Drosophila melanogaster: one gene and its partners. The protein of the gene in region 1 interacts with the protein of each later gene in a pairwise test. Each region holds a gene or a part of one and is shown in the gene's direction. Other genes may lie near its edges.

Region 1 (4,652 bases):
TGCAACTGGCGACGCATCTGGTGGCCACATGGGGGTTTCCGGCCGGAGGGAGCGGCTCCTCCAACTTCTGGCGCATCTTCGGTGTCTGAATTTATTACGAGATTGCAAATCTCCACCGCGATTACAGCAATTATGTGGCTTTCGGTAGGAGGTTGGCACATTGCCCGAGGAACGTGCCCAGAGGTGTGGAATTAAGACTCTCGGCGGAAGGGGTAAAGAAAGTGATGTCGAAAGCTCTGGTCATGAAAAAGAAACGATTTTATAAAATTGATAAAAATTATATGTATTCATTAGTAAGCTGGGAATATTACCCCCCCCCCCCCCTTGCTTAAATATTAAGTATACGCCCCTGGTCGCTTACATGGCTCTCCTCTAATAACTCAATTTCAACACCAGCAAAAACAAATGTGAAAGTGCCAAAAGCCGCCTCCCCCCCTCTCTCTCTCACTCTCTTTCCCGTGGTAACCACCAATCATAGCCAAAAATCCCCAATCAGCTCAGCATCTGGCCCAGGTTTCGATGCACTCGAACAGATAGTCCGACCTCGCCACTCTAAGCCGCTTTAAAGTCCCACCATGGGCTGCAATAAAATAATATAAAATGAAATAAAGATAATTTGTCAGCTACTTCATTTGCGGCAGCGCGTGCGTGACTCGCGGTTGCCTGTTGCATAATATCTGCAGTTGAACTTTCCCAGGGGTTAGCACTCTCTTACCCACCAGTCACCACATCACACCAACCAAGGGGTATAAGTTCTATAAATCAAATATAAATATCAATATCAAACTTATAAATATATAAGTTCCTATAAATCACATAATCAGGCTGGGCCAAGCCTTATAGGAAATGCGTGGCAGTGCATTTCACTTGTTGCCATTAATAAATTAATTATACAACCATGACGGCACTGAGCTCAGTTTTATCCCCAGACGCACGCACTCTAAGCCCTCGTAAAAAATAAAGAAAAATGCACACAGATGGTAGGAAAACTTGTACATTTCGTTGTCATCAGCACAGCAACAGCGCATATTGTGCAAATGTTGATGGTCAAAAGTTGGCTAACGCCTTGGCCAAAGCCATGGCCAAAAAAGCAGCTCGAAATGCAGCCAGCTAAAAGACAAATATCAAGTGAGTGGTGAGGTTTTCAATTTTCAAAAGTCGAAAAAGAAATGCTCTGTTTGAAGAATATATATATCAAATATAAAGACAACTTTAATAAACTCTTAATCATTGGAATTTATAAAAAATGTAACAATTAATATAGGTAAAATCATTTTTGGCATCGTAGCACCTGTCTAATTTCCATTTATCCCCACAGATTTGGAATGCAAATGAATTTCCCCGAATAAATTGCAAATTCGACTTCCTTCTGAGCGTTGCAAATTTAATCAGCAGCTTATTATGCCCCACACATAAAAAAATAAAATTCAAAAAAAAAAGAAGGAGGAGAAAAAATATGGAAAATGCAACAGCAATACGCCAGACATGGCCGAGTCTTTTCGGCAAAGGCAAAGGAATGGAAATGGAAAATGGGAAAAGCGAGGCAGCGAAAAGCGAGCCAACAACAAACCGGCTGTCTCCGTGAAAACTGCGCGGCCCCGAACACACACAAAACTCAAGTGGCGCGAAAATTCGAGGCACAGTTGCAACAGCAGCGCGCAAGCGTGCGGTTTTCCTCCACAGTTTTTCCAGCCAAAAGTAAACAAGGCAAAGCGAAACGAAACGAAACGAAAACTCAAATTAAAAGTCGCATTAAATAAATGAGAAACGAACGAGGACTGCGACGAGCAAGTTTAAACAAAGCTCAAAGACAAAGTTGAATGAATATAGTCAAAGTTTGCTTTTCTCCGCAAAGGATATGAGAAAATCATTTTGTAAAAAAAAAAAAAATATAAAGAGCTTGCATTACATTTAACCAAAGTGCTGGCTAACAAGGATATAATATACCTTAAAATAAATTAAATCAAAAAAATATAAACGCATCAAGTTAAACGTCGAGCAAATTAATGAATATTTTACTGAATGACAAAAGTGAAACTTATAAGTGAAACATCTAAGGACGAATAACGAAAACGATTAGTTAGATAGTTAAATTTGTTAAATTAGATTTTATGGTCTTGTTTTATCTCAAAAATCTCTTAGTTACTAATGAAAAAGATTTTGGTAAAGAATATAAGATCAGAAATAATTCTCATTAAACATAATTCATTCATTTGTCATTCATTTGATTTTCTAAGAACAGGAATTTTTGAAATCGCAGGATACTATTTTTCTGCCTTCATAGTTTTAAAAAGTACTCATTTAACACAGCCTTTGCAGATGTGTCATCTGTTAAAGTACCATATAATGATTTTTGTTTTACTAATTTGTTAATTATGATGTTTCATAATTATGGGGAAATGTTTAAAACAGTTAATATGAGAATTTGAAAAGCACTTTTCGCAATTAGCTGCTGTGATAGTTAACCAAACTGAACGAATACTTTTCCAGGTCCGACAAACAAACAATAAGGTTCAACGCTGAACAAACTCATTTACAATTTGTATTTAAAATACCAAGACGGCGAAAAACAGCGTGGGAGAATAACAGAAATTTCAACAACAATTACAAATTGAGCTGCCACTTTTGTGGAAACGCGAAAAGTGCAACGTGCAACTTGACGCCTCATTTGCCCGAACTTCCGCCGACATCCAAGGAAAATGGAAATGGCTATCTGCGGCGGTGGCATCCCCACCTTAATGGTAAGTACATGGGGTCGGTTCGTTTCGGGTCGGGTTCATCATTCTGAAATTTTAATATAAATAACCGACAACTGCAAGGGCCATCGAGGCGTGAAAACAACAAGCGCCAGTGGAGAGACTTCGAGCGAAATTTCTGGGCGTGGGCCTGGGAAAAGTGTCGGCCTTCGATGCAGCGATTTTCATTTTCTGGCCAGGAAATGGACGCGGCCAGTCACTGCATATGGCGGGCTTCTTCTCATTTTCCTGGCGCACGCACATTTCGCAAGCAATTTATTTTCATTGCACTTGAACTTCAATTAGCCCGGAAACCAGCGAATACTGGCCAGACTTCGTTTAATTACCAGGCATTAAAATCATAAAGCGTATTCCAAAGTATCTTTGCTCAAAAATTCGTTATGCAACTGGCATTGATTGTTTGTGCTTTTTGGCCAAAACGCTCTCCATTTTATGACCCCGGTCTTTATGAAGGCCCGCTGTGGTTATCTAACCGAATCGACATTGGAATCCATATCCAACTGCCGGGACGAAAGGAAAATGCACCAGCAGCATTTGCAATCGAAACTGGAAATTTGCAATTTAAGTGGATGGAAAAAAAAAAAAAAAAGTTTGCGACCATTGCTGGCATTTCTTTTCAGCCAAGTTTCCTTGTGGCCCAGGAAGCACTCGTACCCCCAGCACTTTCTAGACCCGTAAAGTCTTTTATGTGCATTGAACTTGACTTTGCCGCCGGTTTTTGGCCAGGGCAAAAAAGACCAAACTGGTTCTAACTGCCACGGCCACTGCAGTTGGTAACTACCCACGTTGCACCACCCACATCTCACTGCCACATTAACAATTAGCCCAAGCTGTGCCTTTTGCCTGCCTGCTACCATTTCTTCTGCTGTCTCGACTCGCTCTCCGTCTTGGTCTTGCTCTTGGTCTGGAACTTAGTCTTGGCCCTGGGTCTTGGCCCACTCCACTCCACACCATACCACTCGTCTGGGTGGCACGTTTTTCCGGCTTGTTGCATACAACAAGAGACGATGCCGTAAGCGCATATTGCAGCCAACAATTAAACAAACTTGTGGCCAAACAGCAATTACAGAAACCATTTAATGAAGCAACCTGCTCGACATGAAAGAAAGCGAACGAGAACAATAAAGTCCAGAGGGAATGTGTTTGTATTGATTGGGTTAAAGACATGGAACTTTAGAGAAAAAATTATAAATAAATAAAAACATACACGAATCCAAAACTTAATCAAATCAAACAAAAGATAGTGATTTAGTTTATATTAACCCAAAACGAATTTCCACAAAATAAATGATTTTTCTAAAACTAATTGAATGCTGATACAAAAAACACCTTCTGTTTGCCCACTGAGATGTTGATTCCCTTGTAACTAAGAAGCCAGAAGATGATCAAAACTAATTGAATTGCTTTTACAAGTTTATCACCTCCATGCCATGCTGACTTTTATTATTGGTTATTTGTCTTGAAAAAATAAACCGAGTACAATAAAAGCCAGTTCAGCACTTTTAAACTGCCAGTACAATAAATACAACTTGTAAACAGCTGTAAAACTCGAAAGCCAAATGGTAAAAACGTAATTTAATCAAACTTTAGCTCTCGCAGCTCTCGCTGCAAATATTACAGTTTCAATTTCCCAAATAATGTCAAAACAAAAGAAAACTTTTAAAACGCCATGCAGATAGTAGTATTAGAAGTAGGAGTAGAAGTTGAAGTAGTAGTTTCGCTCCTTTTGCCTCTCTTAGCGGATCGTAAAGGAATTGTTAACTAGTTTTCGCAGCACTTCTAATGCCATAAAATCCGACTGAGCAAACTGAAACGAACGCAAATAGCAACAATTTTTATCGCTTCTTTGCATTGAGTTTTCAAACGAATCTAGCGCGTGTCCCATCTGAAATGAAA
Region 2 (4,221 bases), on another chromosome or scaffold:
ATCCTGGACAACGATGTGCACGAACTGTTCCAGCGCAAGTTGCGCGATCGCTCGCTGCTGCAGGATCCCAACTTCAAGTGGTGCATCCAGTGCTCGTCCGGATTCTTCGCTCGGCCCAAGCAGAAGCGATTGATTTGTCCGGACTGTGGATCCGTTACCTGTGCCCAGTGCCGAAAGCCCTGGGAGCGCCAGCACGAGGGCAGTAGCTGCGAAGCTTATCTGGAATGGAAGCGCGAAAACGATCCCGAGCTGCAGGCCCAGGGTGTCCAGGAGCATTTGGCCCAAAACGGCATCGACTGTCCCAAGTGCAAGTTCCGATACTCGCTGGCCAGGTATGTTCAGATACAGAAATATCAGTATGTTGTATCTTTTACAAGTTCAATGTTCAACCTATACAGAGGCGGATGCATGCATTTTACCTGTACTCAGTGCAAATTCGAGTTCTGCTACGGATGTGCCCGACCCTTCATGATGGGTGCCAAGTGCACTGTGTCCACATACTGTGCCAAGCTCGGTCTCCATGCCCATCATCCGCGCAACTGCCTGTTCTACCTGAGGGATAAAATCCCCCTTCAGTTGCAGTTCCTGCTCAAGGAGCAAAACGTCAAATTCGACACGGAACCCATGCAGATCAAGGACGAGTCCAGCAGTTCGTCCAAGGCTCGTGCCCAGGCCCGCTGCCCGATCCCGCTGCAAAAGGAGACGCCGCAAGGACTAGTCGACACAGTGTGCAACACGGAAGTTCCTGACAAGCACGCTGGCATGTGTCGGTAAGTTTAATATCGGGAAATCCCCGAAAAATCATATTTTTCAACCAATATACTTCTATATCATTTAAGCACCCACTACGTAGAGTATTTGGCTGGCAAGGTTGCCAAGGCTGGCATCGATCCACTGCCCATCTTTGATCTGACGGACTGCGTCCAGGAGCTGCGAAGGCGAGGCATCGCTCTGCCGGAGAGAGGACCCTGGGACACCGATGAGATCTACAAGAACATGTGCTCCGAGGTAGGTGTTGGCTATCATCAGTTGATGGCTTAATTGATTTCCTTTTATTTCATTGGCCTTAATCGCGGAAATCGAGTTCCATGCGTTCCGGGGGCGATTTGTTTTTGCCGAATGATTCAGCGGCCGCTCCTGGCGATGGATCGATACCGAAAAATCCAAATAAAATGAAAACAAAATCGTTCAGCCGCTAACTAAATTTGCATGCCGTCTGACGTATTTCACACGCTTCTTAATTGATATTCGTTTTATTATTATTTAATTGTAAACAGTTTGGGCGGTCGAATCGATAATGTTTATAAATGTTCCAATCTCTCAATCTCGATCTTACTTTTAGGTAATCAAAAAGCATATACCACTGAAATCGGCATGAGCAGAATCTGAACAAGTGATGTTTTGGAAGCAGACGACTATTGCAATTCTTCACCAATATCTTTGATTTATGGCGGCACTTTTATAGACATTTTTATACACCCACCACCCCACCCACACTCACGAATCAAACTTCAGTGCTAGACAGTTCGTTAGACATTAGACATGGCATGTATACACCTTCATTGTACACCCACCCACTCATCGTTTATCCATCCAGAAACCTTTCCCATTTTGTTTAGTTACTAAGAGATGGAAAACAACAGACCGAATATCCGCACGTGTAATAGAGTGCATCCAATAAACGGCGGCATATGTGAAAATCCAATCCAATCGTTTCTAGAATTTATTTTAAGCTTTTCAGCCTGTGCCTAACAATGTGCAGATGGTTAGTTTGGAAAGTGTTGTTTGCTGTGGGCGGTTCCAGGACTTTCGAATCGATTTCGCATTTGAGATGTCCGCACAATCAAATACAAATCCGGACGACAGCGTGGTCAACCCAACCAAGGACTGCAGACCAAAGGCGCACAGGTAGCCTATGACTTAGCCATCAGTCCAGGCAATCAAACTAATTTCAAGTAATCCGTGCTCCAAACACCTCCGACTTTGGGAGCTGCACCAGAAATTCATCAAGGATACCTCTCCGATTTCTTCGATGATATGAACGACAGCAGTCGTAGTTCCATGGATACCGACATGGAAATACAGAAGTTGCCAGTGAAACGGCACTTGCCGGTGACCAAAGGCCATGGGTGTGTTAAAAATAAGTGCCGCCGAAATCTAGACGAGATGTCCATCCAACAGTTTTCCGACTCATCCTCTCAGTCGGAGGGCGATGGCGAGGAGGACTCCAATGATGCCGACGACGAGGAGTATCAGCAGCCCGAGTGGACGGGTCGCAAAAGGCCGCCGCTGGTCTATCTCGAGTTGGGCGATAAAATCATTATCGTTAGGAACGAGCCACAGCCCAACGTCAAGCTGGAAGACGATGTGCAACTTAAAACGAAGATGCACAAATTTTTGGGTCTGATACCATCACGCCGCAAGCTCTACAATCCTGCGGTGGTTTACGATATGAAGCCGGAGGATATTGAGAATATCAATTGTGTCGTCAATTCATCCCATGCGTCCGCAGAGCCATTTACTCCATCAGCCGAGCAACCAATTCGTCCGAAAACAATGATGACATCCACTTGGTCAAAGCTTAATTTGTCGAATATCGATGAACCGACCCCTGAGGAGAGCCAGGCTAAAAGCAAAAATGACTTTGAGCTCTGGTCCATTGCATTCTCCTTTGATCAGTGCACCCCGGACTTGCATAAGGAGCCCATTGATCTTATCGATTTACCCAACGAAGAGCAGTTGGCCGCCAACTGCCGACGTCACAAAAGCAGTGTGCCATGCCTGGAGCGGCATCCAAAGTTCTACGGATTCGTTCGTTCGCTCAGCCCTTCGATTTCGCTCAATATGTGCCATCCACTGGCGCTCACCTACAGGCAAAACAATTTCAAAATCTGCAAGGTGGCACTGGCCAAAGTGCTGTTCAACATCTTCAACCACGCGATCTTCCACTGTGGCCTTCAGGTGCCCATTGTTTGGAAGCACGCAATGCACACGCGATGCACATGCCAGCTGACCGTCGATGCCCATGGTAAGCGCAGAGCCAAGATTCTACTTCTGCGGAGTATAAAGACTACGGCGGAGCTAATCCGCTGCCTGCTGCACGAGATGTGCCACGTGGCGGCATTTGTGTTCAATCGGGAGTTGGGTCACGGCGACAATTGCCGCAGGTGGGCCTACCAGGCGAAGATGGCCCTGCCGGAGGCACCCACCATCGAGGACAACTGCATAGATAGCTTCAAGTACACCTGCACTATGTGCACCCGATGCTCCTACGGCGTGGCCGACTTGAGCATGCAGAACCTACGTTGCTACTACTGCCAGTTCGAGGTGAGCGTGAAGAACGTTTGGAAGTCAGAGATGTACGATTGGACCCGGTCAGATCCGACGATGACACCGTTCAAGTGCTTTATTTGGGACAGGTACTTGCAGCTGGGCGAGCAGGGAGCCAACACGCACTCCACGAATATGGCGTTGCTCAACGAGGAGTTCATGAGACTGAACTCCACAATGGATTAGAATGCAGCGACTTTGCTGCTGGCATAGAATTTTAAGTATATATTTTGTATAGGATAGGAGTGACTTAACCACAAAATCCCATTAGAATACTAATTCAAATCCCATAGTTTTGTTAACTTGTTAAATTATTGTTTCTTTGTTTCTCTTGTTTTCTGTTACCAGTTAAATAAAATACACAACTATTAAATGACTGCATACTTTTGAGCTATTCTGATGAGTATGCTGTGAGTATCTGGAAAGTCGTATATCCACAGAGACTTATTATTATATTCATCTCCTTGGCCGCTTGTGATATTGCCAAAAAGGCAAATGCGAGCCATAAATTAAGTCCCGAGACGAAAAGCAAAGGCACAAGCACAACAACCAGATGAGCGAAAAAAAGCAATACAGTAAGTGGGGGATATTCAGATACAAATTCAAATTCAGATTCAGATACGCCAAGTTACTCGGTGGAGAACAGGGAAGGCGATGGGACGATGGTGGTGGCATCGTAAAAACCTATTTTCGTAGCGATTGAAATGAATTTATGCGCGCGGCACAACATGTTTTGATATTCGGACAGTTTTACACCAATAACAACTAATTAAATGGGATAAATTGTATATTTATTGATCCATAAACGATCGTCTCGTCCTAAAAGTTTTGCTTCTGGCTTTGAACTCAAACCCGAACTGCAACACTCACATACGCGGTTTTAAGTTTTTG
Region 3 (7,860 bases), 830 kb from region 1:
CCGCCTTAACATAGAAATTACAATTAGAAGATGGTAAGTAAACGATTTGCGGGCACGAGAGTTTAAGGTCAAAATAATATTGTATCACGTAGAATAGTAAACTTGGCTTAATGTGCGGAATTAAAAACGCTGTATTCCCAGCTTAGCAAAGAACCCCATATGCTTGAAAACCTCCTTGAACCCACACGGGTTTTAACGATTAGACAAATCTGGCATTTCCCACAACTATCCGTTATTGGCCAACACAAGATTTCTTAAACGATTCTGGTTTTTCGACGTCAACTCGGCGCACAAGATGAAAGAGAAGAAAGAGAAAGGCGAAACAGGTAAGAGTAAATATGAGCGAATGCGTCATAATGCGCACTCTGGAAATACACCGTCAGAAAAACTTGAATATTTAAACTTGAATTTAAACTCACATTCTACATATTTTAATATTTTCACGCTTTTAATGTGTTTTTTTAATGATATGCACTTTAAGCAATTAATTTTTTAAATTAAACAAATTTCAGTTCTTTATTAAACTTATTACTTCGAAACCCATTAACATAATTAATGTAATTTTAACAGAAATATATATTGTCAGACCAAAAATGCATTGTTGATACGAAGTAATGGAAGCTCATTAAATATTAAAAAATGAACCCAAAAGTCAGATCAAAGATTGTGAAAATAAGCAACTCGCCACTGAGTAAATCAACAAATACTTTCGCCAATATTTGATATACACCTTTGTTCAAGTTCTATCCCACGTCTATAAATATGAACGAATTTTTAGAACACTAATCTGGTTTGCCGTAGATAACATAGTCGCATTGGACTAGGTCCGTAACCAAGAGAACATTTGAATGGAAACGATTTTAAACGCCTTCCAAAATAATTTCGCCATATGATGCCAAATGGTTGAAAACACCATACCTGGCCGCAATTATCTATTGGACTAACCTTGTCTAAATTGGCCACAATTCGGCTTATCTGACTTGCTAAATAACATTTTGATAGCACACGTATATACATATATTTTATTTTAGTGCCGTTATGGGCAATTCGAGTGCTTACAACTGTCGATTAGATTGCAGATGAGATCCCTTTGGAAATTTTTTGTTTTCCAAATCGTTTTGCTTGGAGACACTACCCTCTTTGAAATACTTTTCAACTGAAATGGTGAAATACCGACAAACCATTGCAAAAGAAGTTTACCATGCCCCACGATATCTCAAAATCTGAAAACAACATTATTTGTATTTTATCACACCAAGTAGTGTGATATATTTGGATTGGGGAAGTCGCCGCTGGGCAGCGTAAGAATGCCGCTACCACGCTTAAGCATCCAGGTATTTCACGGCACACCTGAGCGGCGGTATGAATCATGACTTTCGCACGCGATACAGATACAGATTTCCTCTCGGTTAGTCCCCCGATCTGGCGAATTCAGCTTAAAATCTTTTGCGCGGGGAAAACCATGCGCGCAAATGGATTACGCTTAGTCCGTTTTTGTTTTGGCCAAAAAAGACCCGACTCCACTGCATCTATGGACACGCTGGGTCAGTAAACAAATACCGGTTACGAGAGACTGATAACAAACTTACGCCGAATCGATGGTATGTACGTACAACATAACTGTCTAATCAATCTAATCTGCATCGTCTTTATGGCTCTGTTTTGGTTACAGGACCAGCGACTAGGAACCAGTATTTCCCGCCGCCTGGACGAGTGCGAGGAACAGGCGGGTTGCCAGGCGGGAATCCCGATTAGTTATACGATCGACTTTGTTGCCGCTCGAGAACCGAGAGCCGAGATTCTGGCACCGAGCTGTCGTCGCAACCATTCGATTTTGTGTTAGTCCAGTTCAGATCGCGCACTCGTCGGCTGCAGACGTCTTCTTGAGCACTTCCCAGTGCCAATAGAGCCAGAGGAAATATAGATATATGTATATATATACATATATAAAGTCTTCAGACGATCGCGAGTTTCATCAGTTTGCCAAGTGTCCACGGAAGATCGGCACGTGCTAAGTAAGTGCCATGTAGCGCAAGTGAATTTCCATTAATTGATTCAGTTTCTCGATGCATTCGATGAGTGCGTTTCGTCGACAAGTGAATAAGATTGAATCGAATCTGAGTAGCTGAGGAGTGGGCTATTATACCCAGTTCCTTGGATCTTGAGTGCAAGCCGTTCGCAATTGACAATCGCAATCAACACACAAATATCTCGCTTTCCAATTGCGCTTAATTTATTAATTTATGTACGCTTGTTTTTCATTCGCGCAATCGAGCTAATTTCCTTAAATTGACTTGGGAAAATTGTTTTTGCTGATTAATCAGCCCTTTGCTCTGCGTCGAATAATTTCTACAATATATTTTATGTAACACGTAAAGATACATTAATTATCACACACTTAAGCGTCATAATTGCTACCATTTTTATCAACATTAGTTATTTTAATGGTATTATAATTACGTGTTTCCAAGATGTTGAGATACATTGATTTCCATTTAATTAAGTGCAAGAAAAGTGCAAGTATTTCTTGTTAAGAAAAAACGAATGTCAAACTATTATTATAAAATAGTGGCAATGCAAGAAGATAAAGTTCTAGAAATTTATTTCATAACATTATGTTAAATCTGAGCCTGAATTCTTTGAAGAGTTGAAATATTTTTTAAAATTCAATCATACTTTTGTTAATCTCCCCAGTAACTTTCCTGGGATAACATGTTTGCCTTAAGAGCACTGAACTCTTTTTGTGAATTAGAATTAAGAAGATAGTAATTAGGCTTTTATAGTCGAGTTTGCAGATAAAAAGCGAGAGCAACTGGGTGTGTTTGTGGTTCTCGTGGTTAAGTTCTTTAATTGATACACTCTAAATTATAGACCCCAATTTAGAGCTTAGATATCAGGCCAGCACACAAAATGTTGTGTTTACTAATTGTTAACTTTGTTCTTAGGCTTAATTGCTATAGCGAGTATAGAGATACTTTACTGCAGTATCGCCTCATAGACACAATGGTCAAGAAGGAGGAATCACGGCTGCCACAAGCTGGTGACTTTCAGCTTAAGGAAGGATCAGTCGTGGATGCGACCCGAAAGTACAGTTACTTTGATCTGGTGAGTGGTGACTCCGCATCAGCATCGTTATAGGTTCTATATCCTTTTTGGTCTCGCCTCTATAGTTCAGATACTCAACCAGATGCGAGCGCTTCCTGTTGGTAGTCAGTCTGCTGGTGGCCACCGCTGCGTCCGCATTTATTCCCTACTTCATGATTATCTACGGAGAGTTCACATCCCTGCTCGTGGACCGAACAGTCGGCGTGGGCACATCCTCGCCAGCCTTTGCTCTGCCCATGTTTGGTGGCGGTCAGCAATTGTAAGTTCTTAATCATAAGATAGTCCAGGATTATGTTATAACGTCAAATTTTCGTTCAGGACAAATGCCAGCAAAGAGGAGAACAACCAGGCGATCATTGATGATGCGACTGCCTTTGGCATTGGCAGTCTGGTGGGATCTGTGGCCATGTTCCTGCTCATCACACTGGCCATCGACTTGGCCAACCGGATAGCCCTCAACCAAATCGATCGCATCCGAAAGCTCTTCCTGGAGGCAATGCTGCGACAGGACATCGCCTGGTACGACACCAGTTCGGGCTCCAACTTCGCCAGCAAAATGACAGAGTGAGTTTCGTCTCAAATAATATAATTATTAATAAGCGTATAATCCGAATCTTATTGCATTAAACAAATTATAAAAACCATATCAATTGAATATTCATTAGCAGAGCTAGAAAATTACGCAATCATAGTAGCAATCGGACTTATTAACATCAATATGGTTTAAATATGATTGAAACAATTTATCACTATCGCGATTCCCAGACAATTTTAGGAAGCCACCTGAAAGTTTTTAAATAAATTAAATATCTCATGCCAGTGACGTGAACTTTTTTTGTGCGAATTTTACAATGTATTTATTCAAATTCCTTTTAATTCTAGAATTAAATTCTAAAGACTTTAGAGTATTTTTATAACTCCTCGATTTTTTTCTTTGGAATTTGCAGAGACCTGGACAAACTGAAGGAAGGCATTGGCGAGAAAATAGTGATTGTGGTATTCCTGATCATGACCTTTGTGATTGGAATAGTGTCTGCTTTCGTCTACGGATGGAAGCTCACCCTGGTCGTTCTGAGTTGTGTGCCCTTCATCATTGCAGCCACCAGTGTGGTGGCTCGACTCCAGGGATCGCTGGCCGAGAAGGAGCTGAAGTCCTACTCCGATGCAGCCAACGTGGTCGAGGAGGTATTCAGTGGAATTCGCACAGTGTTCGCATTCAGTGGTCAGGAGAAGGAAAAGGAACGCTTTGGCAAGCTGCTCATTCCCGCAGAGAATACGGGTCGCAAGAAGGGTCTATACTCGGGCATGGGAAACGCACTGTCCTGGCTGATCATCTACCTGTGCATGGCTCTTGCCATCTGGTATGGTGTGACGCTCATTCTGGACGAGCGTGATCTTCCCGATCGCGTTTATACTCCGGCCGTTCTGGTCATTGTCCTGTTCGCCGTGATCATGGGTGCCCAGAATCTCGGTTTTGCCTCTCCACACGTGGAAGCCATTGCTGTGGCCACGGCAGCTGGCCAGACCCTGTTCAACATCATCGATCGTCCGTCGCAGGTGGATCCAATGGACGAGAAGGGAAACAGGCCGGAGAATACCGCTGGACACATTCGTTTCGAGGGCATACGCTTCCGTTACCCCGCCCGTCCGGATGTGGAGATCCTCAAGGGTCTGACCGTCGATGTGCTTCCGGGTCAGACGGTGGCCTTCGTGGGCGCATCTGGGTGTGGCAAGAGCACCCTCATCCAACTGATGCAGCGGTTCTACGACCCCGAAGCGGGCAGTGTCAAACTGGATGGACGGGATCTTCGAACACTGAATGTGGGCTGGTTGCGTTCGCAGATCGGAGTGGTGGGCCAGGAACCGGTTCTCTTCGCCACCACCATTGGCGAGAATATCCGATACGGAAGACCATCGGCCACTCAGGCGGATATAGAGAAGGCGGCGCGAGCGGCCAACTGTCATGATTTCATCACTCGCCTACCCAAGGGCTACGACACCCAGGTGGGCGAGAAGGGCGCTCAGATTTCTGGTGGCCAGAAGCAGCGGATTGCCATTGCCCGGGCTTTGGTTCGACAGCCCCAAGTGCTTCTTCTCGACGAGGCCACCTCTGCCCTGGATCCCACCTCTGAGAAGCGGGTGCAAAGTGCCCTAGAACTGGCCAGCCAGGGACCAACCACTCTAGTTGTGGCCCACCGACTGTCCACCATCACCAATGCCGACAAGATTGTCTTCCTCAAGGACGGTGTAGTGGCGGAGCAGGGTACGCACGAGGAGCTCATGGAGCGACGTGGTCTCTACTGCGAACTGGTGAGCATCACCCAGCGGAAGGAGGCCACGGAGGCGGACGAGGGAGCGGTTGCCGGGCGACCTCTGCAGAAGTCGCAGAACCTGTCTGACGAGGAAACCGATGATGACGAGGAAGATGAAGAGGAGGACGAAGAGCCGGAGCTGCAGACTTCGGGCAGCTCCAGGGACAGCGGATTCAGAGCCAGCACGCGACGCAAGCGTAAGTACCAGAAGTTGGAATATTTAATGCTTTTACTAACCCAAGTACCAAGACTTAAATTCGATATTAAGTAAAGAAAATAAGTAATAAAAACAAATGCAAAATTAAAAGTTCTATAAAATCGTGCACTATATTATATATATTAACTTTAAAATCCAATTCAAATAATTAACAGGTCGCTCGCAGCGTCGCAAGAAGAAGAAGGACAAGGAAGTGGTATCCAAGGTGTCCTTCACTCAACTAATGAAGCTTAATTCTCCGGAGTGGCGTTTCATTGTCGTCGGAGGCATTGCATCCGTAATGCATGGCGCCACATTCCCGCTTTGGGGTCTCTTCTTTGGCGACTTCTTTGGAATCCTCTCGGACGGTGACGATGACGTTGTGCGAGCCGAGGTCCTGAAAATCTCCATGATCTTTGTGGGCATTGGCTTGATGGCCGGATTGGGCAACATGCTCCAGACCTACATGTTCACAACGGCCGGCGTGAAGATGACAACGCGATTGCGTAAAAGGGCTTTTGGAACGATTATTGGTCAGGATATTGCCTACTTCGATGACGAGCGAAATTCAGTGGGAGCACTGTGCTCCCGGCTGGCCAGCGATTGTTCCAACGTTCAGGGTGTAAGTTTCAAGATTGAGGGTAACCATGCAGAAGCACTGCTATTCCAAGCTACTGCTTTTTACTATATATGTTTAAATATCTAACGCTTTTTCCTTATTCCAGGCAACCGGAGCTCGTGTGGGCACAATGCTCCAGGCCGTGGCCACTCTTGTGGTTGGAATGGTCGTCGGTTTCGTTTTCTCCTGGCAACAGACGCTCCTCACACTGGTCACCCTGCCCCTGGTCTGTTTGTCCGTCTACTTGGAGGGCCGTTTTATCATGAAGAGCGCCCAGAAGGCTAAGGCGTCGATCGAGGAGGCTTCTCAAGTGGCAGTCGAAGCTATTACCAATATCCGAACGGTCAATGGTCTTTGCCTAGAGCGCCAGGTCTTGGATCAATACGTTCAGCAGATCGATCGCGTGGATATCGCCTGCAGGCGTAAGGTTCGCTTCCGTGGTCTGGTTTTCGCTTTGGGACAGGCGGCTCCTTTCCTGGCTTACGGCATCTCCATGTACTATGGTGGTATTCTGGTGGCAGAGGAGCGAATGAACTATGAGGACATCATCAAGGTGGCCGAGGCTCTGATCTTTGGCTCCTGGATGTTGGGACAGGCCCTGGCCTACGCGCCAAATGTAAACGATGCTATTCTGTCCGCCGGACGCCTAATGGATCTCTTCAAGCGCACCTCAACGCAGCCCAATCCGCCACAGAGTCCCTACAATACAGTTGAGGTAAGTCAACATTTCGCCAATCGAAACCGTACATTATGTTGGAAACTCAAATTTGATTGTTTTTTTTTAGAAATCCGAGGGAGACATTGTCTATGAAAACGTGGGCTTCGAATATCCCACCAGGAAGGGCACTCCCATTCTGCAGGGCCTAAATCTCACCATCAAGAAATCGACGACGGTTGCTCTGGTGGGTCCATCTGGTTCCGGCAAGTCCACCTGCGTGCAACTGCTGCTTCGCTACTACGATCCCGTATCGGGATCCGTGAATCTGAGCGGAGTGCCGAGCACGGAATTCCCGTTGGACACACTGCGCTCCAAGCTGGGCCTGGTCTCGCAGGAACCCGTGCTCTTCGATCGCACCATTGCCGAGAACATAGCTTATGGCAACAATTTCCGTGACGATGTGTCCATGCAGGAGATTATTGAGGCGGCCAAGAAGTCGAATATCCACAACTTTATAAGTGCTTTGCCCCAAGGCTACGACACCCGACTGGGCAAGACATCGCAGCTCTCTGGAGGTCAGAAGCAGCGCATCGCCATCGCTCGAGCCCTGGTTAGAAACCCGAAGATACTCATCCTGGACGAGGCCACCTCTGCGCTGGACTTGGAGAGCGAGAAGGTGGTGCAACAGGCGCTGGATGAGGCGAGATCAGGCCGCACATGCCTGACGATTGCGCATCGTCTGACCACCGTGCGGAATGCGGATCTCATCTGTGTGCTAAAACGCGGCGTGGTAGTGGAGCACGGCACCCACGATGAGTTGATGGCACTGAACAAAATCTACGCCAATCTCTATCTGATGCAACAGGTGTCGGGCTAACACAGCGAACTGGAGTGATAATTGTTAGGCTTTAATTTAGTATGTACACTAGGCTAATTGAACATGTTGAAGTATTACAAAAAAAATAGAATG

Evidence for each region. The genes of interacting proteins can lie anywhere in the genome.
Region 2: the proteins of Cpr50Ca (region 1) and CG11322 interact in a two-hybrid assay, tested with the Drosophila melanogaster proteins (one large-scale study listed by BioGRID).
Region 3: the proteins of Cpr50Ca (region 1) and Mdr49 interact in a two-hybrid assay, tested with the Drosophila melanogaster proteins (one large-scale study listed by BioGRID).

What each region holds. Positions count from the first base shown.
Region 1 is NT_033778.4:13,768,276-13,772,927, forward strand, and holds the start of Cpr50Ca (cuticular protein 50Ca), read left to right. Parts: upstream 1-1,639; 5' UTR 1,640-1,698; intron 1,699-2,490; 5' UTR 2,491-2,699; coding exon 2,700-2,741; intron 2,742-4,652.
Region 2 is NT_033779.5:6,757,347-6,761,567, reverse strand, and holds CG11322 (uncharacterized protein), read left to right. Parts: upstream 1-1,939; 5' UTR 1,940-2,073; coding exon 2,074-3,516; 3' UTR 3,517-3,704; downstream 3,705-4,221. Other genes in the region: LUBEL (linear ubiquitin E3 ligase), read left to right, coding at 1-332, 399-770, 840-1,008, 1,343-1,378.
Region 3 is NT_033778.4:12,940,331-12,948,190, reverse strand, and holds the start of Mdr49 (multi drug resistance 49), read left to right. Parts: upstream 1-1,843; 5' UTR 1,844-2,015; intron 2,016-2,945; 5' UTR 2,946-3,003; coding exon 3,004-3,105; intron 3,106-3,170; coding exon 3,171-3,364; intron 3,365-3,423; coding exon 3,424-3,669; intron 3,670-3,802; exon of another isoform or gene 3,803-3,958; intron 3,959-4,052; coding exon 4,053-5,614; intron 5,615-5,789; coding exon 5,790-6,235; intron 6,236-6,338; coding exon 6,339-6,947; intron 6,948-7,017; coding exon 7,018-7,767; 3' UTR 7,768-7,860.